Lonchura striata: one gene and its partner. The protein of the gene in region 1 interacts with the protein of each later gene in a biochemical or structural test. Links are inferred from orthologs where the notes say so. Each region holds a gene or a part of one and is shown in the gene's direction. Other genes may lie near its edges.

Evidence for each region. The genes of interacting proteins can lie anywhere in the genome.
Region 2: the proteins of SMAD3 (region 1) and PIN1 form a complex in vitro, tested with the Homo sapiens proteins (2 studies listed by BioGRID, with this or other methods). The link is inferred for Lonchura striata from reciprocal best matches to the Homo sapiens genes SMAD3 and PIN1.

Annotation. Positions count from the first base shown.
Region 1 is NC_134613.1:23,082,452-23,092,752, forward strand, and holds the start of SMAD3 (mothers against decapentaplegic homolog 3), read left to right. Parts: upstream 1-4,408; 5' UTR 4,409-4,487; coding exon 4,488-4,693; intron 4,694-10,301. UniProt on the Homo sapiens protein: Receptor-regulated SMAD (R-SMAD) that is an intracellular signal transducer and transcriptional modulator activated by TGF-beta (transforming growth factor) and activin type 1 receptor kinases.
Region 2 is NC_134623.1:1,532,663-1,542,963, forward strand, and holds PIN1 (peptidyl-prolyl cis-trans isomerase NIMA-interacting 1), read left to right. Parts: upstream 1-4,880; 5' UTR 4,881-4,908; coding exon 4,909-4,966; intron 4,967-6,045; coding exon 6,046-6,237; intron 6,238-7,435; coding exon 7,436-7,546; intron 7,547-8,210; coding exon 8,211-8,320; 3' UTR 8,321-10,156; downstream 10,157-10,301. Other genes in the region: CHCHD5 (coiled-coil-helix-coiled-coil-helix domain-containing protein 5), read left to right, coding at 1-34, 1,279-1,404. UniProt on the Homo sapiens protein: Peptidyl-prolyl cis/trans isomerase (PPIase) that binds to and isomerizes specific phosphorylated Ser/Thr-Pro (pSer/Thr-Pro) motifs.

The DNA of each region.
Region 1 (10,301 bases):
GGGCCATGGGGATCTGGGGAAGGCTACTCAGAGGTGTAAATCAGAAGCAGAGAGGTTTTGGAGTGCAGGAATGGCCTGTCCATGGCTCTCCAGGGAGGTCAGCTCCAGTCCAGGAGCGCCTACACAAATAACTGCCAGGAATTGGGAGAGTGTTTTAGAAGGATCACTCTGGACGTGCTGCTGCCTTGTATTTTTCCCTTAGGCAAGAGGTGCTGCCGTGGTAACAGAAAGGATTCTGGCTTGACTAGAAGTGGTTGTGTGATTTTTGCACCACTGAGTCTCTTGGAACATGCAGGTGAATTGGCTTGTGTGTATGAAGCATCAGGAATTTCCAACAAAACAACTTTTCATTGTGCGTGCGTGTTTTCTCATCTGCAGAGGAGAATAGCTGTGGTACCCTGTAAGGATTTGACTGAGCTGTGTATTTCACAGAGCTGACATTACTGCTGAACACATTAACTTACAAAGGCCTCGCTTTTTCATGACTCACGCCAGAAGTTATTTTCCTGTGGGTTTGTTCTGAGTGATTAAGAGAGGTTTGCTTGCATATAAATGCTGTTCTACACATATAGATATATATATATGTTACCTTCACCAGGGAAAGCTCCCACACTTTCCCTTGTTTATGCACATTATACATGACATAGGTTCCGAGTTAAATGCCACAGCCCTTATTTACAAGGTAAGCAAAGAAGATAACCCAATTTAAAATTCCTCATTTTCAGTGCTGCCCATCTCACCCTTCATGGAGAACACTGGACAAGAAGAGTCGAGGCCACCATCCTGTCTGCTATGAGCTTCCCAGCTTGTCCACCTGGGAATTGTAAAATTCCACGTACAGGTAGGAAATACATTTAATATTTCAGCCAGTGAGGTAGAAACGGGGGCAGCACCTCAGAAGCTGCTTCTCAACCACTCCCTGATTTTCAACCCAGCCACAGTGGCACGCTGGGAGCTGTTGGAGCAGGCACCAGGATCCCTCAGAGCCCAAGCCCAGGCAGGGAACAGCGTGCTCTGGCCACGCTGCCTCCATCCTGCCTGTTCCAGCTCGCCCTGAACACCTTCCTGCTCGCCCCAAAAATCCCTTCTCACTACTCAAAGGATATAGAGGGAACATGGAGCAAAGCACAGAACAATTCTTCAGTCTCTGAAGCTGTTAAAAATATTTTTGATAAAGGTACATATATGCACAGCTGAGCTCCAGTGAACACCTTCTTGTTTCTCATGCTAATTTTATATTGTTCCTAAAGCAGAGCTGATTTTTATCTTTGTGAAAGGAGAATTTTAATCCTGGTCCTATTCATTAATCATATCAAAACCCAAGGTATGCAGATATTATTTTTCAATATTTTTAAGGTTCTAGTCTAAAAGGTTAAGAAATGCAAAATAGCTGTAAAGGGTTTGGGTTTTTTTCTTGAAGTGTTTGGTTTCCTCCCATTATTGCAGACTACATATATCTTTATTTCTCAGTGAGAGCAAACTGTGGCCCTGAACCTCTAGAATTCCAAACACAGGCAAAGATAATGACTGTTTAAAAGTAAAGAACAAATTGTTCCACAAAAAATGAGCACAATCACAAAAAGAAGCATAAACTTCTCCTGCTTAGTGGTGGCTTCCAAGACGTCAGACATTTTGTAAACCAGCAGTCGGATCCAGACCACGCAGAATTGGGACGGTCCTGCTTTTCCTGTTAATTTTTCCACTATGAGAGTGTCCAAAACTCTCTGAAATAAAGGATTACTGTCTAGGGGTTCAGAAAGTCATATTTTCATAGAACAGTTCATTCTGACAGGTAACCCCAGCAAGCACACAAGCTGTTCCATTAAATGTCATGGCCTTAAGTTTAAAAATGTATCCCACATCCCAAGCCCAACTGTTTGTTTGTTCTCAGGAGTGTTTTCAGTGCTGCTGTGGCCCAGAGTTTAGATCAGTGGTTGAGCTGCCTACACCTCATTTAGAGGTTGTAAGCAAGAGAGACACAGTTTGGTTTAGTGTTTAGCAAATTATCTTCACCCTTTTGCCACTAAATCACTCTACAAGCACGAGCAAACCACTCAGCTCTTCCTCTCCTTCCCCTTATTCAAATGTACCCAGACCATGACTTGTGATATGACTGTGAGGAGTGAAGATCAGACCTTGAACATGGACAGAAAATTCTAGAAGCTCTGCTGAACCGAGGTCACAGCATGAATTCTGAGTGTAGTGATGAGATTTGAGTATTATCATATCTTTCTGGATGAAGAAAGCATGGAATAGTGCCTGTGGTTTTCTATCCAAAAGAGCCAGAAAGAAATGTTGGTCCTCAGAAGAGAAATCTGCTCTGAGATCACCCTGATGTAATATGGACTTACCAGGTCTGAGGCAGGTCCTTCGGCCTCTGGGCTTGCAAAATGTGCTGGGCCAAGAATTGAGAAAATAGAGAAAGATTATTTAACTTCACCCCATTTCAAAATGTAGTAAGAATGTATTTCTGCATTTAAAAAATGTATTTAACTTCCCCATCTGTGTTTCACTTGGTCCACATATTCAAGCCATTTTCTAAAGTTGTGAACAACTTTTAAATAAAAATTCAGACCTTTAAATAATCACAGACTATCAGAAACTTGGCCTTTTCAGAAAAACACAAACATACAGAAAGTCAACAGTGCTAGCAAGTTAGTAATTGAGGCATCCTGCTTTTAGTGTAAATAGTATCCGTAATTTTTTTGCAGTGCTTTAGAGGTATTCAGGAGATATTTCCTCAAATGATGTTGGGATAATCTGCAGGGGTTCCACATCTTTGTACTTCAACCAAAGCAGCCAAAAACTGGGTCAGGGCAACAGTCCAAAATTTTAGTGGTGAGCCTCCAAAATTCAAGACACTCAGGGAATGCATGTTGGGGAATAATATGAGAATGCTGAAGGGAAAAAAAAAAAAAAGATAAGGGCATATTTAATTTGTAGCCAATATTAATATTTCAAAAATTGGTACTGTCAATTTGGAATAAAGCCTGTGTTTGAAGTGCCTGTGAAAGGCAAGGCAGTTGCCTCAGATGCTGTGTGATGCCATCGGTTCCTGAGTTGCCACGAGGCAATCTGGATGGCTGGCTGCTCCGAATCCACAGGCACAGGGGTTTGGGATGCCAGCTTTCGAGGAGTCTCCCCACTGGGTTACTCTGGATCCTGGAATATGAGAACGTGGGTTGGCAAGACCCTGCGTGTCTGGGAGCAGCCGAGCAGCCCCACGGGCTTCCCAAATTCGGGCTCACCACCGTCCCTTCTGATAGGATGGAGAGAACTGGGAAGCATAGCTCAGCTTGAAAATTCCGAATTCGGGAGCCAAGTCCCACAAAACTTTCACCCTGTTGCTCCTGGGCAGCTGTTGCAGGGAGATGAGATGCAGCTGGAGTTGAGAAAAGGAACCAGCCTGGTTGGAGGCACCTGGTGACTCTGCAGGTGCCTCTGAGGCTCCTCACTCAGCACCATTTTGGGGTGGTTTAACAGAGAACTGCTGCTTTGAGGAGCTAAAGTTTATAATTATATGTTTTTTTAGAACTTGGGCTTCTTGAGACCGGGGAGTGTGACAACCCAGTCTGCTCAGTGATGGAAAGTTCGAAACTGGAAATGTACCTGGATGCCACCCTGAGTCAGCCCAAACCGAAGCATCTCTACAAAACACCTAGATGTGAACAAATTGCCATCCTCTGACAAAAATATTCCGTCTGAGAATTTCTGACCAGCTCCAGCGGTAAACACCTCCAGGGTGTCCTTTTTGTCTGATACAGGGCAAAAATTATCCGGGTACCTGTTGCTCGGGGTGGAAAGATGAGGGAATGGAATATTAAATTAAAGGAGTTGGAACAAAAAGCAGCTAATTGTCTGAGCACGGCTGGCCGAGCTGTGTTCAGGTATCTGTGTGGGAACAGATTCCACGGATGAAATGCCCGTGGCAGGGGCTGCAGCCACGCTGTGGAGCCTCTTGTCCCCTTCCCCTCCCTGAGCGGGCTTTACACTTGTGGGGCTTTACGCTTGTGGGGCTTTAAGCCTGTGTTTCTTTTCCGGTGGGGTTTGTCCGGGCACCTCTCCCTGCCGTGCTGCCGGGCTTTTCTGGAGCGCGGTCCCCCTCAGGGAGCCGGGGCCTCCGCGGGCGGCGATGGAGGCGCGCAGCCTCCCGCCCTCCTTCCCTCCCAAACACGCCGCCGAGGGAGGGAGGGAAGGAGGGGGTGGAAGCCGGGCCGGGGCGGCCAGCAGGCAATTTGCATGAGAGACAGACTGGGAATGAGCTGGAGTGGGCGCCTCTCCGCGCACACAGAGCGGGGCAGGAGGGGGAGGAGGAGGGAGCTGCCGCCGCCGCCGGGGAGAGGCGGCGAACTCCGGGCAAAGTTTGGAGCCGCGGGCCCGCGGCGCTGAGGCAGCGGCGGGGCCGGGCCGGGCCGCGGGTGTGAGGCGGCGGAGCCGGCGGCGGGCAGAGCGCGGAGCCGGCGGCGGGCGCTGCCGGCACAGCCAGCATGTCCTCCATCCTGCCCTTCACTCCTCCCATCGTCAAGCGGCTCCTGGGCTGGAAGAAAGGCGAGCAGAACGGGCAGGAGGAGAAATGGTGCGAGAAGGCGGTGAAGAGCCTGGTGAAGAAGCTGAAGAAGACGGGGCAGCTGGACGAGCTGGAGAAGGCGATCACCACGCAGAACATCAACACCAAGTGCATCACCATCCCCAGGTATGGGTGCGGGGGGCGCGGCTCGAGGGGCGTGCGGGACCCGCAGGGACCCCGAGGGACCCCGAGGGACCCGCCGGGACCCCGAGGGACCCGCCGGGACCCCGAGGGACCCGCAGGGACCCGCCGGGACCCCGAGGGACCCGCCGGGACCCCGAGGGACCCCGAGGGACCCGCCGGGACCCCGAGGGACCCCGAGGGACCCGCAGGGACCCCGAGGGACCCCGAGGGACCCTCAGGGACCCCCGGGCCCCGGCACGGCCGGGCAGGGCTCGGCGCGGTGTCCGTCCTCTCTGCCTGCTCCTTACCGAGCTAAGAAAAACCCCGTTCTGCCTGCAGAACTGAATTACTCTGTAGTAACGAGAGAGAAAACGTAGTGGAGAAAATATGCCTCGAGCCGAGATCATAAAAAAGAAAAAAAAAAAAAACAAAGTTGGAAGCGCTGCGGAGCAGTTCCACTCTTATTGTCAGAAGTTTCAGCTTGTTCTCAAGTGCTGTTGCATTTAGATTTTCTTGTGATTAGCGCGTTAGGAAAACGGTTTTGTTTGGGTTGTTTGGCCTCTTCCTTACTCCTCCGAAGGGGTCATTTAGAGCCCTGCTCTGCTGATGTTTTCGAGTTACTTTTTAAATCGGGAATGCAAATGGCAGAGCTGAAGGAGGTCGTTTGGAGTGAAAAAAAAAAAAAAACCAAAAAAAACCCCACACATGTCAGGGTGAATATAACTGATTTTTTTTCTTCCATTTTTTGAATGAACATAGATTTTATTTTCAGTCTCCATTCCGAACTCGATCCACAGGGCCATCATAAATCATAAAAGACGTGTATAAAACTATCCCATCTAAGAACAATTTTCCAAGTAACTTTCAAATGGCTGCCCACAAGTGGTGTTTTATTGCTGCAGATTGTTGAATTCTGTGAGCTCAGCCAGATGACTGCTGGGTCTGTTCCTGATTGTGTTTGAGAGTATTTTTTTTTTTTTAAGCAAAGGCCAAAGTTCATCCCAAATATTTGAATGCTGCATAATTGTGTGCTTCTGCGTGAGAAGATATCTGTGTGTGTGTGTGTATTCATGCTTCTCTCTGGCACAAACAAATGTATGCTTTCTTGCTTGTCAGAATGATTTAATATGCAGGAGCTGATACAAAGCAGCATCTGTTGCATGAAAAAGTGAAGCAAGTAGCTTAGAAATGTGGATGTTTGGAGCTCCTGAAATTTTCTTCCAACAACTGCAGTGTTTTTTTAAAAGGAAAAATAAAGCCTCCTTATCTTTTTTGGTGCTGAATGACTTTGGCCAAGATTTTGGCCGGTAATGCAAATGAGAGCTCTCAGCCTTTGTTAGAGTTGCTCCGGCTTCTACTTGAAGCAGAAATCAAAACCTGTAGAGCCACCACGCAATACAAATGCCTTAAAATCTATATTTTTCAAGTTCTTGGTAAGCAGCGTGCTTTCCACGTAGATAATTCCCTGAAATATTTACCATTTAAAGCACTTCTCTGTAATATTTACCATTTCAAAAGAAGAAAATTTCTGGAGCAGCCCTGCTGCTGTGACCTGGGTATTGTGTCTGGCTGATGCTGACCCGTTAGGGAGCAGAGCATGAAGGCCCGTGGAACTTCTGTGACTCCTAACAGAGTGGTTTAGATAAGGAAGGATTTGATATTTTATGATTTAAAGGAAGAAAAGTGTTGGGCCAAACACAATGCTTTATTAAAAGAAAAAAGGTAAAGTTTGAAAATAAATAACAACGCAAACATATGTCGCAAGTCATGCAGACTCACCTTCAGAGATTGTCCTGACTGTTCCTCATCTGTTAAAGAAAATCTGTGCAGAAATTAAAACATTTTGTGTTAATTTATGACACTGAACCTGGATCCTACAGATCTTAAACCTTGGTATGGGGGAGGCATCAGCCTGTTTTGGTGGGAGCCCCTTATACCTTGGCATTAATTTTTAAACACAACTTCATATCTGCTTTTTTATTGTTTAGAAATGCCCGTGGTTAGGTTTTTCTGTGCTGAGATGTTAACATCTGTGTGTCAGAGGTTGGGGAATGGGGTGGGAGCATGGAACAATCCCTGAAGTCAGTGCAGAGCTGCAGCTCTGACCAGGCCTTGTGACTTTAAGAGCTGTGCCTTTTCCTCTGGGCTGCACTGCTTGTCCTAATGTATCTGTGAATCTGATTACTGTGTCATCTGAAATTAGTGTTTGCAAGACGATTTTAGCGTGGTTTTCGTTTGCTGTTTGTTTTTTTCATTTAATAATTTTTACGTATGTCATTTTACTATTTACTCAAATGATATGCTGGGGAGGGGGGAAAGGGGGGAAAAGCATCATTAAGGATTAGCTCATGTTGTGCATTGTCCGTAATGCATCAGTAGACTGAATTACAGTGGAGCCATGCCAGTGATGACTCTGGCCCAGCAGGAGCAGGGTAAGTCCAAAATTAGCTATTGTATCCATGAGACAGAGCAAGTTTTACATGGAAAAGGGCTCGAGCTTTGCAGAAACATTGCTTGTGGGAATGAGGGCTACACAGCAAATTCCTGGACTGATCAGGTGGGATTGTTTGAAGAAAGGACAGGAAAATATATTTGTTTTGTTGTAGGGCTAAGGAATTAGAATAACAAATGTATTCCTGCTGTCATGTTTATCTGCTGGGATCTGGAAGCACGTACTACATGCTATCTCCTGACAGATTAGTAAACAGGGATTAGTTTATTTGCTCAGCATGTGTTACTTCTCCAAGTGCTCAATTTCTGAGGTGGTGTGACAGATACCCCAGGTGTTCTGTTGGGAGAACCTGTGAAGATAGTAAAAGGCTGGAGAGGCCTTCAAGGATTTCAGCAACTCTTCTGGCAAGAAGGATTTTTCCTTCATGTTTTTACTGCTGGAGGAGGAAGTCATTTCCACCTGAAAAACTCTGGTCTCAAACCAGCTGATGGTTTCTGGTGGTGCTGCTGCTGCACAGGACGGCTCCTTTAGAGGATCTTCCTTCCCTGCTCCTCTGGACACAGCTGCCAAAGCCCATCCTGCCCCAGCAGGACCTTTCTTTAAACCTCTGTGCCCGAGCTGGTGGCCTTTAGTGCCAGAGCTCACCTAGTGAGTCGGGTCTCCCTGGCAGAAAGGGTTTTTCATCCTGTATTGGGTGATAAACGTTGAGAAGACACATTCTTCTGCTCATTAAAATGCACCCTTTGTCACAGTTATCTTGAAAGCCCAGCTTTCAGAATGAGCATTTTTATCACTTTTCAGACCAACCTGGGCACAAGTGTGCCATTAACACCTACCCAGCACAGGCAGGAGGGTGTTTGTGGCCTCTCTGCCTTGCTCTGTGAGCAGGCAATGATCTGCTCCAGCTGCTCGCAGGATTTTTGGTGGCTCTGTTCTCTTCAGAGACCCAAAAATGTGGTCAGAGTGGCGTCTACATCTGACATTCATACAAACCTGCAAAAACCCCTGAATTTCTAATACTGTTCTGAGCAGAAGAGAGGCCGTTTTGTGCACCTGAGAAACCAGCAGCATTTGCCCTGCAAATGAAGTGTGGTGAGTGTTGAACTCAACTTTTTTAGGGTCTGATCTGCAGAAAGCAGACCATGTGACAGGCACTCGGTAATTTCTACAAGCTGTGCAGTGTCTGTAGTCTTGCTTTATGATAGTAAATGCTTTGTTTCAAGAGCTTTAGTGGTGCTACACACACAAAGACATAAATCTCCTGATATTTTGTAATATATTTTCATATGGACATTTTTCTTTTGAACTCATTACTGTATTTATTTGTTTTGGTATCACCAGTGGTTTTAGGGGAACCAGGATTCCTGTATGTAAAGATCACCTTCTTTTAAGTAGTGGGTTTTTTTTTTAATTTAGAAAACAGTTGTGAAGAGAGGTGGGTGTTATTTCTTGTGGAACTCATCTGATAAGGGCAGAATGTACCAGTTAAAATGAAAACATGGCACATTTGCTTCTTAAAAGCCACTGAATATGGTGTTCCTTAAATGATTTACATTTTGGTGGGGAAAACCAGGGATAATACACAAGGAACTTAATACATAATGATAATAAAGAAGGAACATAATTATTTCAGGAACATCTTGGGTGTGAGCACAGCTTCTGTTGTGTTGGGAGTTGACCACACAATATTTACAGAACTTAATCGTGTTCTTAGGTTTGAGGGGATACCAGGAAAAGAGGAAAACGGTGAGGGTATTAAGTGGCAGAGGCTGTTTGCAAGACCCTGAAGGATGTTGTGGTTTCACACTATGGTGTGATTTTGGGGTCACTGGACTTGCTCCTTGTGGGTCTCTTCCAGCTTGGGATATTCTGATTCCAGACTCTTTTTTGGGACTGCTGCCCATCTGACTGCAGTAAGCAGCAAAGGACCAGCCACAGCTTTGTGTGTCCATGTGCAAATTTATGTATTTTTCGATACCAGTTTCAAGCTACTTTGTTTTCAGTTTTCTATCCCTGAGTGTGAGGAGCTTTAATATTTCCTGGCCTTGTCTGGGAGCGCCTGCAGGGGCTTAGCCCTGGTGTGCACCTCAGGCTGCCATCTCCCTGCCCGGCTCCATCCTGCTGGGGATTTTCCTGCTGCAAAGCCGTGGCAGTGACCTCTGTCCTGCCCGAGCCCTGGGCAGGTTTTACAGCCCTGCCCAACCTTTGTGCTGCTGCAGTGCCCTCAGCAGCTGTGGTGGCCTCTGTGGGACTCTCAGGCCAGGTCTGAAGGTGGAGGTAGGGTGAGTCCCCATGAGCCTGAGCCTGACAGACCTCCAGGAGTGTTTGGGCAACTCTCTTGGGCCCAGGGTGTGACATGGCCTTGCTCCTGTGTGGGGCCAGGAGTTGGACTCGGTGACCCTTGTGGGTCCCTTCCAGTTCAGCTTTTTCTGTGTGATTCCATGATTTTCTGCCTGCAGTGCTGCTTCTCCATCAGTGCCTTTCTCAACTCCCTCTCTGGGCACAGGTTTCTGCTCCCTGCAGCCCCTCCAGCTTTTTGTCACCCCCTTGCACTTACTCCTGCCTCTTACATCAGCTTGGGTGATGTGTGTGGAGTTGTTGTGTTCCCAAAAACAAAGCACTGCTGTCAGGCTGCGGCCATAATGTTGGTACAACCAGTTAGGGAGCAGCTACACACTCAGTTATTGTGGCACAGACAAGGAGCTGGGAGAAGAGGGAGGCTGGGGAGGAGTTATGTTCTCTCCCTTTAAAAGAGTTGCTGCTGGCATAGCACAGCAGCCCTTTATTAAGGTGTCTCCTCAGTTTTGTAATTTCTCGTGCAGTCATTACAATTCAAACCCTCTTGCAAATATATATGTGTTTTTTTACCTGAATTTTGCAGGGCAGCTCACACTTTGCATTAAAACCAGTGATAAATTTCCTTCTGTCTTGAAAAAACAACTGGAATGTTTATCCAGGACACTGAGAGGCTAAAATGGATTTTACCACTCGTTAAGATGCTTTCAGATATTAATATCTCTGTCTTTCATTCTTCTGCCCTTTCTCAAGAGACTAGAAGAGTTAAAATAGCTTCTGAAGGGACTCATGATGTTCTCATTATATTGTGTAGTAAGTGTTGAATCTGTGTGAAATAAAATGTTTAAAATGGTTGCTTAACTT
Region 2 (10,301 bases), on another chromosome or scaffold:
CCCGGGAAAAACGGGATATCAGCCGGGGACACCGGTGAGAATCCCGGGAAAAACCGGGATATCAGCCGGGGATACCGGTGAGAATCCCGGGAAAAAACCGGGATATTAGTGAGGGACACCGGTGAGAATCCCGGGATAAAACCGGGATATTAGCCGGGGACACCGGTGAGGAATCCCGGGATAAAACCGGGATATCAGCCGGGGACACCGGTGAGAATCCCGGGATATTAGCCGGGGACACCGGTGAGAATCCCGGGAAAAAACCGGGATATTAGCTGGGGACACCGGTGAGAATCCCGGGATAAAACCGGGATATCAGCCGGGGACACCGGTGAGAATCCCGGGATAAAACCGGGATTTCAGCCGGGGACACCGGTGAGAATCCCGGGAAAAACCGGGATATCAGCCGGGGACACCGGTGAGAATCCCGGGATAAAACCGGGATATCAGCCGGGGACACCGGTGAGAATCCCGGGATAAAACCGGGATTTCAGCCGGGGACACCGGTGAGAATCCCGGGAAAAACCGGGATATCAGCCGGGGACACCGGTGAGAATCCCGGGATATTAGCCGGGGACACCGGTGAGAATCCCGGGAAAAACCGGGATATCAGCCGGGGACACCGGTGAGAATCCCGGGATATCAGCCGGGGACACCGGTGAGAATCCCGGGAAAAAACCGGGATATCAGCCGGGGATACCGGTGAGAATCCCGGGATATTAGCCGGGGACACCGGTGAGAATCCCGGGAAAAAACCGGGATATCAGCCGGGGACACCGGTGAGAATCCCGGGAAAAAACCGGGATATCAGCCGGGGACACCGGTGAGGAATTCCGGGATAAAAATGGGATTTCAGCCAGGGACACCGGTGAGAATCCCGGGATAAAACCGGGATTTCAGCCGGGGACACCGGTGAGAATCCCGGGAAAAACCGGGATATCAGCCGGGGACACCGGTGAGAATCCCGGGAAAAAACCGGGATTTTAGTCAGGGACACCGGTGAGAATCCCGGGAAAAAACCGGGATTTTAGCCAGGGACACGGCCACCGGTGAGGATGGAACCCCAAAAAGGGAATTTGAAGCCAAAATTTTAGGATAAAAATGGGATTTTATCCCTCAGGAAACGCTGGAAATTTGGGATTTCATTATCTGAATTCCCTCAAATCCCCCCCGGTGCCGCTTTTTTTATTCCCTCAGTGAAAAAGAGGAAATTTGGGATGGAATTTTGGGACCAAAATATGAATTTTGGGTTTTTTTCCCTTTTTTTTCTCTCCCCAGAAAATCCCAGGAATTGAAAACCCCTCTGGGAACGCCGGGAAAGCCTCAGAAGCTTCCGGAATCTCCTCCCAAATTTTGGGAATTTCCCCTCTGGAAAAGGAGCCCCAATTCCCTGCGGATGCCTGAGCTTTTATCCCAAAAATCGAAGAAATAAAAATCCCAGGAATTTTCAGGATGGGACCAAAAATTCTGATTTTACTTCTTTTCATTCCCATTTTTTCCCCTTTTTTTCCTCTTTTCTTTCCCATTTTTTTCCTCTTTTCATTCCCATTTTTCCTTTTTTTTTCCTCTTTTCTTTCCCATTTTTCCTCCTTTTTTCCCACTTTTCATTCCCAACTTTTTCCTCTTCGCCCCCTCCCCCCCACTTTTTATTCCCTAATTTTATTTAAAAAAAAAGAAGCCAAGAAAAAGAGATATTTCCCCAAAAAATTCCCAATAATCAGCACAGGAAATTGGGAATTTTTACCTGAAAATCTGGGAAAAATCCTGGAAAAAAATGCAGAAAATCCCAAATTTGACCAAACTGAAGCAGGAAATTCTGTTTATTCCACTAAAAGATTCCTGGTTTTTTTGGGAATTTCACAGTGGGGTGGGGGAAAATTGGGAACGAGGCTAAAAAATTCCCAACTTTCTGAATATTTTCCCTTAAAACCACAAAAAAATTGAGGATTTTTACCCTAAAACCACACAAAAATCTGGGAAAAATCCGGGGGAAAAAAATTTAAATTAATTTTAAAAATTAAAATTAATTTTTAAAAAAATTGAAAATTGGGAATTTTTATCTGAAAATCTGGGAAAAATCCAGGAAAAAAAATGCAAATTCTGCCAAACCGAAGCAGGAAATTCCGTTTATTCTGCTAAAAAAATTCCCATTTTTTTGGGAATTTCACGCAGGGTGGGGGAAAATTGGGGAACAGGATCACAAAATCCCCAAATTTCTTAATCTCCAATTTCCTCTTAGAACCAGAAAAAAATTGGGAATTTTTACCTGAAAACCTGGGAAAAATCTGGGGAAAAAAAAGAAAAAGAAATCTGAAATTTGGCCAAACCGAAGCAGGAAATTCCGTTTATTCCGCTGGGAAATTCCCGGTTTTTTTGGGAATTTGGCGCGGGGCCGCAGGGAGGTGGGGGATGTGGGATTTTGGGGATTTTCGGGGGGATTTGTGTTTCTGTGGGCTCGGGGAATTGGAATTTTGGGGGGAAAAAATTGGCATTCGGGACGGGAAAAAACTCCCACGGAAAATTCACACTTTTAGGGAGGGATGCAGGAAAAACCCCGAGCTTTGGGGGGTGAAATTGCCCAAAATTCCGATTTTTTTTTACCCCAAAAATCCGACTTTTACCCCCCAAAATTCCGACTTTTTCCCACAAAATTCTGATTTTTTCCCCCTAAAATTCCAATTTTTTTCCCCACAAAATTCTGATTTTTTCCCCCAAAATTCCGATTTTTTCCCCCAAAATTCCGATTCTTAGGGGGAATTTTGCAAAAATCCCGAGATTTGGGGAGGGAAATCGCCCAAAATTCTGATTTTTAGGGGGGAATGTTACAAAAATTTCCCAAAATTACAATTTCTTTTTCCCAAAATTCTGATTTTGGGACAGAATCTTGGGATTTTGGGGTGGAATCCCAGATTTTGGAGTGGAATTCTGGGATTTTGGGGTGGAATTTGGGGATTTTGAGGTGGATTTTCGGGATTTTGGCTGGAATTTGGAGATTTTGGGGTGGAATTTGGGGATTTTGGGGTGGAATTTCAGGATTTTGGGGTGGATTTTCGGGATTTTGGCCGGAATTCTGGGATTTTGGGGTGGAATTTTGGGGTTTTGGGGTGGATTTTCAGGATTTTGGCCGGAATTTGGGGATTTTGTGGTGGAATTTTGGGATTTTGGCCGGAATTTTGGGATTTTGGGGTGGATTTTCAGGATTTTGGCCGGAATTTGGGGATTTTGGGGTGGAATTTTGGGATTTTGGGGTGGATTTTCGGGATTTTGGCCGGAATTCGGGGATTTTGGGGTGGAATTTGGGGATTTTGGGGTGGAATTTTGGGGTGGATTTTCGGGATTTTGAGGTGGATTTTCGGGATTTTGGCTGGAATTTGGGGATTTTGGGGTGGAATTTTGGGATTTTGGCCGGAATTCAGGGATTTTGGGGTGGAATTTTGGGATTTTGGCCGGAATTTGGGGATTTTGGGGTGGAATTTTGGGATTTTGGGGTGGATTTTCGGGATTTTGGGGTGGAATTTTGGGATTTTGGGGTGGAATTTGGAGATTTTGGGGTGGAATTTGGGGATTTTGGGGTGGAATTTCAGGATTTCGGGGTGGATTTTCGGGATTTTGGCCGGAATTCTGGGATTTTGGGGTGGAATTTCAGGATTTCGGGGTGGATTTTTGGGATTTTGGCTGGAATTTGGAGATTTTGGGGTGGAGTTTTGGGATTTTGGCCGGAATTCCGGGATTTTGGCCGGAATTTGGGGATTTTGGCCGGAATTCCGGGATTTTGGCCGGAATTTGGGGATTTTGGGAGCTCACGTGAAGGAGGATTTGTAGTCGGTGCTGTGGACCCATTCCCAGTTTCCCTCGGCGCCGGGTCCCTGAGGGGAGACTTAAAGGGCGGGAAAAAAAAGGGCGGGGAAAAAAGCTCAAGGGGGAGATGAGGGGAAGAAAGGGGTAGAAAAGGCGGGAAAAAAAAGGCGGGAAAAAAGGCAAGGGGGAGAAAGGCGGGGAAAAAAGGGCGGAAAAAGGGGCAAGCGGGGATGAGGGAAAGAAAGGTGTGGAAAAGGCGGGAAAAAAGGGCAAGGGGGGAAGAAAGGGAAAGAAATGGGGGGGGGGGGAAGGCGAGGAAAAAGCGGGAAAGAGGCGAGGCTGCGGCGCCTTCGGGCGCCATTTGTCCCCTCCCAATCCTCGTTGTCCCCAGCCACCCCTCAGAGCCCCCCCACGGAAGGCAAAGATCCCCCCCAGTCCCTCCCAGTAACCCCCAGTACCCACCCGCGAGGGGGCCCGGGCCGCTGCCGCCATCTTGGCCGTTGCTAACAACAAACGCCGTTGCCAGGCAACGCGCCGGCGTGCCCGTGACGTCACTTCCGGGCCCGCCACAGCGGCGGCCCCGTTGCCGTTAATCCCCGCTGCGGATGAGCTCCGCGATGGGGATGAACGACCACGAGAGGCTGCCTCTCGGTGTCCCCCCGGTTCTCCCGGTGTTCCCCGTTCTCCTCCGCCATCCTCCGTTCTCCCCCTCCCATCCCCCGTGTGACCAAACCGGCGCCACGTAGAGGCTTTAAACCGGCCGCGCGCGTTCTGTAGCGTTGGGTTTGTCGATAATAAAGCTGCTTTTGGAGGCTCCGGTTGATTTCTTTGCTCCGGTGGGACCGGGACGCTCTAACCGGGCACAGTAGAGGCAGCGCTGCGTCTTTGCGTTCCGGTTAAATTTAGCCACGCACGGCCACCATCCCGCCTTTCCCGCGCGCGTCTCGGCTTCACCGCGCGCTTGATTGACAGGCGGCTCCGCCAATAAGATGATGCCCTGAGGGGCGCATCGTCTCTGCCGACCAATAGGAACGCGAGAAGCGCTGGTTTGCCCGCCCCTCCGCGTGGCGGTGTGGGCGGGCCGCGCAGGGCGGGCAGAGGGAAGGGAAGATGGCGGAGGAGGAGAAGCTGCCCGCGGGGTGGGAGAAGCGAATGAGCCGCAGCTCCGGTGAGGGCCTGAGGGCTGGGGGGAAGCGCGGGGAAGGAGCTGCGGCCATGGGGGAGGTGGGAAAGGGCGGTGGGGGCGGCGGGGTTGGGTTTTGGAGGGGGTGAGGGGGCGTGGTGGGGGGGGTGCGTGAGGGGGATTTGAGGAGGGGGCGGCGAATTGAGGGAGGGTCGTGAGGGGGCATCGCTTCAGGGAGGGGGGGTCAATGTCGTGAGGGGAATTTGGGGGGGTCGCCAATTTAGGGGGGTTCTGAGGGGGGGGGGTTCGTCTCAGGGAAGAGGGGGGGCAATTCCGTGAGGGGAATTTGGGGGGTCCCGCTCATGAGGGGAATTTGGGGGGGAGGATCTCCCTCCTGAGGGGAATTTGGGGGGGGATCCCCCTGGTGAGGGGAATTTGGGGGGGCGTCAAAGGGAATTAGGGGGGTTCCCCTTCCTGAGGGGAATTTGGGGGGGATCCTCTTCCTGAGGGGAATTTGGGGAGGATTCCCCTCGTGAGGGGAATTTGGGGGGGGGAATCTCCCTCCTGAGGGGAATTTGGGGGGGAATCTCCCTCATGAGGGGAATTTGGGTGGGATCCCCCTGGTGAGGGGAATTTTAGGGAGATCCCCCTCATGAAGGGAATTTGGGGGGGCTCAATGGATTTTTAGGGTCCTTAACCTGCATTTTGGGTTTAATCACCTCAATTTTCAGCAGCAATCAGTAAGCAATCACTGATCAATAACCTATAATTAATCAATAACTGATATTTGATCAATAGCTCCCCAGGGAGGGGGTACTGCTTCAACCACCAGGCAAAGATCAGCCAGTGGGGTCATTGAGGTGGGAATTGATGTCAATAAGCTGATTTATCAGTGCAAATCAATAAATGATCAGTGATCAATAACCAATAGCCGACCAATATTGATTGATAACCGATTAGTAACCCTGCAGGACACGTGTACTACTTCAACCACCTGGTGAACGCCAGCCAGTGGGGTCAATACTGGGGCCTGTGAGGAGGTTTTGGTACCAATAACCAATTTTTTGATACCGATCGGTAACCAATCAGTAATCAATAACCAATAGCGGATCAATACCCCCCAGGCAGGGTGTACTACTTCAACCACCTGACGAACGCCAGCCAATGGGAGCGGCCGAGCGGCGCGGGCCGGGCGGAGCCGGGCCGGGTGCGCTGCTCGCACCTCCTGGTGAAGCACAACCAGTCCCGGCGCCCGTCCAGCTGGAGGCAGGAGCGCATCACCCGCTCCAAGGAGGAGGCGCTGGAGCTCGTCAATGGTCAGGGATAAACTGGGATAAACTGGGAGTGGTACTGGGATAAACTGGGAGTGATACTGGGGGGATACTGGGATAAACTGGGAGTGATACTGGGGGGTTACTGGGGAGACTCAGCTGGAGGCAGGAGCGCATCACCCGCTCCAAGGAGGAGGCGCTGGAGCTCGTCAATGGTCAGGGATAAACTGGGATAAACTGGGGGGGATACTGGGATAAACTGGGAATGATACTGGGATAAACTGGGAGTGATACTGGGATAAACTGGGAGTGATACTGGGGGGATACTGGGATAAACTGGGAGTAATACTGGGGGGTTACTGGGGAGACTCAGCTGGAGGCAGGAGCGCATCACCCGCTCCAAGGAGGAGGCGCTGGAGCTCGTCAATGGTCAGGGATAAACTGGGAATGGTACTGGGATAAACTGGGAATGATACTGGGATAAACTGGGAGTGATACTGGGATAAACTGGGAGTGATACTGGGGGGATACTGGGATATACTGGGGGGATACTGGGGGTGATGGGCTGATGGGATACTGGTGATACTGGGATACTTGGGGTACTGGGAGTGATGGGATACTGGGGATACTGGGAATGATGGGATACTCAGGGTACTGGGAATACTGGGAGTGATGGGATACTGGGGATACTGGGAATGATGGGATACTCAGGGTACTGGGAATACTGGGAGTGATGGGATACTGGGCATACTGGGGATACTGGGCTTCATTAATGAGCTCAGGAGCTGGACATTCTTTATAAAAGCTCGCCAATGGCAAATAGAAACTCTGGGAATGAATCCCAGGAATTCCAAAGGATTTGGGATCTCCCCGGATTCCACCCCAAATTCCACCTTTTCCCAGAAGTCAGCCCTAAAATTCCACCATTTCCCAAAACTCATCCTAGAATTCCTTCCCTGGATGGTTCTTTTCTCCAATTTTCCCTTTTTTTTGGGGGAAAAAAAAAGCTCCCTGAAATGACCGATTTTTGGGGAAAAAAAAACTGGGAATAGTGAATTTGGGGGGGAAAAAAAAGTGGGAGTGAGTGATGACTTTTCGGGAAAAAAAAACCAGGAATGTTGGTTTTGGGGTAGATTTGAGGATATTTTGGGATTGTCTCATTTCCCATGGAATCTGCGGCACCCAGGGAATTTTGGGAGTGGTTTTGATCCCTAAATTTGGGGTTTTCCCGTTTTTCTTCCAGGTTACATCCAGAAAATCAAATCGGGAGAGGAGGATTTTGAGTCTTTGGCTTCGCAGTTCAGCGACTGCAGCTCGGCCAAGGCTGGAGGAGACCTGGGAGCGTTCGGGAGAGGTGAGGGATTCATCCCAAAAAATCCCCAAATCCATCAATTCCAGGGGAATCATCCCCAAACCCCCCCAAATCCAGAGGATTTACTCTCCAAAAAAAGACCCAAATCCAAGGAATTCCAAGACATTTATCCCCCCTCAAAAAAAACCCTCAAATCCAGGGAATTCACCCCCAAAAAACCCCAAATCCACCAATTTCAGGACTTTTTCTCCCCCCCAAAAAAATCTCCAAATCATGCAATTCCAGGGGATTTATCCCTAAAATCAGCCATTTCAGGGGTTGTTTCCCCAAAAATTCACAGAATCCATCCAATTCCAGGGGATTTATCCCTAAAATCAGCCATTTCAGGGGTTGTTTCCCCAAATCCACCAATTCCAGGGGATTTATCCCTAAAATCAGCCATTTCAGGGGTTGTTTCCCCAAATCCACCAATTCCAGGGGATTTATCCCTAAAATCAGCCATTTCAGGGGTTGTTTCCCCAAATCCTCCAATTCCCAGGGATTTATGCCCCAAATCAACCCCGAATCCCCCGTAATTCCAACCGTGCTCCATCCAAACTCCCGGAATCGCCTCCCCCGGTGTTGAAATCCCGGATTTTTCTCCGGGAAGAGCCCCAAATCCCGTTTTTTTGGGTTTTGTTTTGATTTTTGGGGGTTTTGGTCGCAGGGCAGATGCAGAAGCCGTTCGAGGACGCCTCGTTCGCGCTGCGGGCCGGCGAGATGAGCGGCCCCGTGTTCACGGAATCCGGGATCCACATCATCCTCCGCACGGAGTGAAGTGCCTTGGCAGGGCCGGAATTCCCGGGAATCCTCGGGAACCCGCGGAGGTCTCCGGGAATCCGCGGGAATTCACGGGAATCCGTCGGAATCGATGGGAATCTGTTGACTCCACGGGAATCCATGGAAATCCTCAGGAATCCGCGGGAATCCACAGAAAATCCATGGGAATCCATGGAAATCCTGAGGAAATCCACAGAAATCCATGGAAATCCTCAGGAAATCCACGGGAATCCACGGAAATCCTCAGGAATCTATGGGAATCCATGGGAATCCACAGGAAATCCATGGGAATCCATGGAAATCCTGAGGAAATCCACAGAAATCCGTGGAAATCCACAGGAAATCCATGGGAATCCGTGGAAATCCTGAGGAAATCCACAGGAATCCGTGGAAATCCTCAAGAAATCCATGGGAATCCACAGGAATCTGTGGAAATCCTCAGGAAATCCATGGGAATTCTCAGGAATCCGTGGGAATCCACAGGAAATCCATGGGAATCCATGGAAATCCTCAGGAATCCACCGAAATCCATGTGGATCCACAGGAATCCATGGAAGTCCATAGGAATCTGTGGGAATCCGTGGAAATTCTCAGGAATTCCGCGGGAATCCGTGGGACATCTGTGGAGATCTCCAGGAATCTACGGAATTCATGGGAATCCGTCGGAATCGATGGGAATCTGTTAACTCCAAGGGAAGCCATGGCGATCTCTGGGAATTCTCAGGAATCCGCAGGAAAACCATGGGAATCCACAGGAATCCATGGAAATCCTCAGGAAATCCATGGGAATTCTCAGGAATCCACAGGAATCCATGGAAATCCTCAGGAAATCCATGGGAATTCTCAGGAATCCACGGGAATCCACAGGAATCCATGGAAATCCTCAGGAAATCCATGGGAATTCTCAGGAATCCACGGGAATCCATGGAAATCCTCAGGAAATCCATGGGAATTCTCAGGAATCCACGGGAATCCATGGGAATCCACAGGAATCCATGGAAATCCTTGGGAATCCACAGGAATCCACAGGAAATCCATGGAATCCACAGGAAATCCTCAAGAATCCATGGAATCCACAGGAAATCCATGGAATCTATGGGAAATCCATGGAATCCACGGGAAATCCACAGGAAATCCATGGAATCCACGGGAAATCCTCAGGAATCCATGGAATCTGGAAAATCCACGGAATCCGCAGGAAATCCATGGAATCCGCGGGAATCCCGCCCACCACAAACTCCAGATCCCACAATTCCTCCATCGTTCCGCGTCCTCCCGGGCGGGAGCGGAAACGGGGAATTCCTGCGGTTTTCGGGGAATTCCCGCGGTTTTCGGGGAATTCCTGCGGTTTTGGGGGAATTCCTGCGGTTTTCGGGGAATTCCCGCGGTTTTCGGGGAATTCCTGTGGTTTTGGGGGAATTCCTGCGGTTTTCGGGGAATTCCCGCGGTTTTCGGGGAATTCCTGTGGTTTTGGGGGAATTCCTGCGGTTTTGGGGGAATTCCCGCGGTTTTCGGGGAATTCCCGCAGTTTTCGGGGAATTCCTGCGGTTTTCGGGGAATTCCCGCAGTTTTCGGGGAATTCCTGCAGTTTTTGGGAACGTCGGGTCGGCCGGAGGCGGCTCCCGGTGGTCGCGGCTCCGGGAGCGCAGCGGTGACGGTGGCAACGATGACGATGACGATGACCAACAGTGGTGATGGTGACAATGGCCATGGCCAATGATGGTGACAATGACCGTGGCCAACAAAGTTGACATTGACCAACAATGGTGACAATGACCAATGATGGTGACAATGGCCAACTATGGTGACAATGGCCATGGGCAACGATGGTGACGATGACAATGACCAATGATGGTGACAATGACCAATGATGGTGACAATGACCAACTGTGGTGACAATGGCCAACTATGGTGACAATGGCCATGGGCAACGATGGTGACGATGACAATGACCAACTATGGTGACAATGGCCATGGC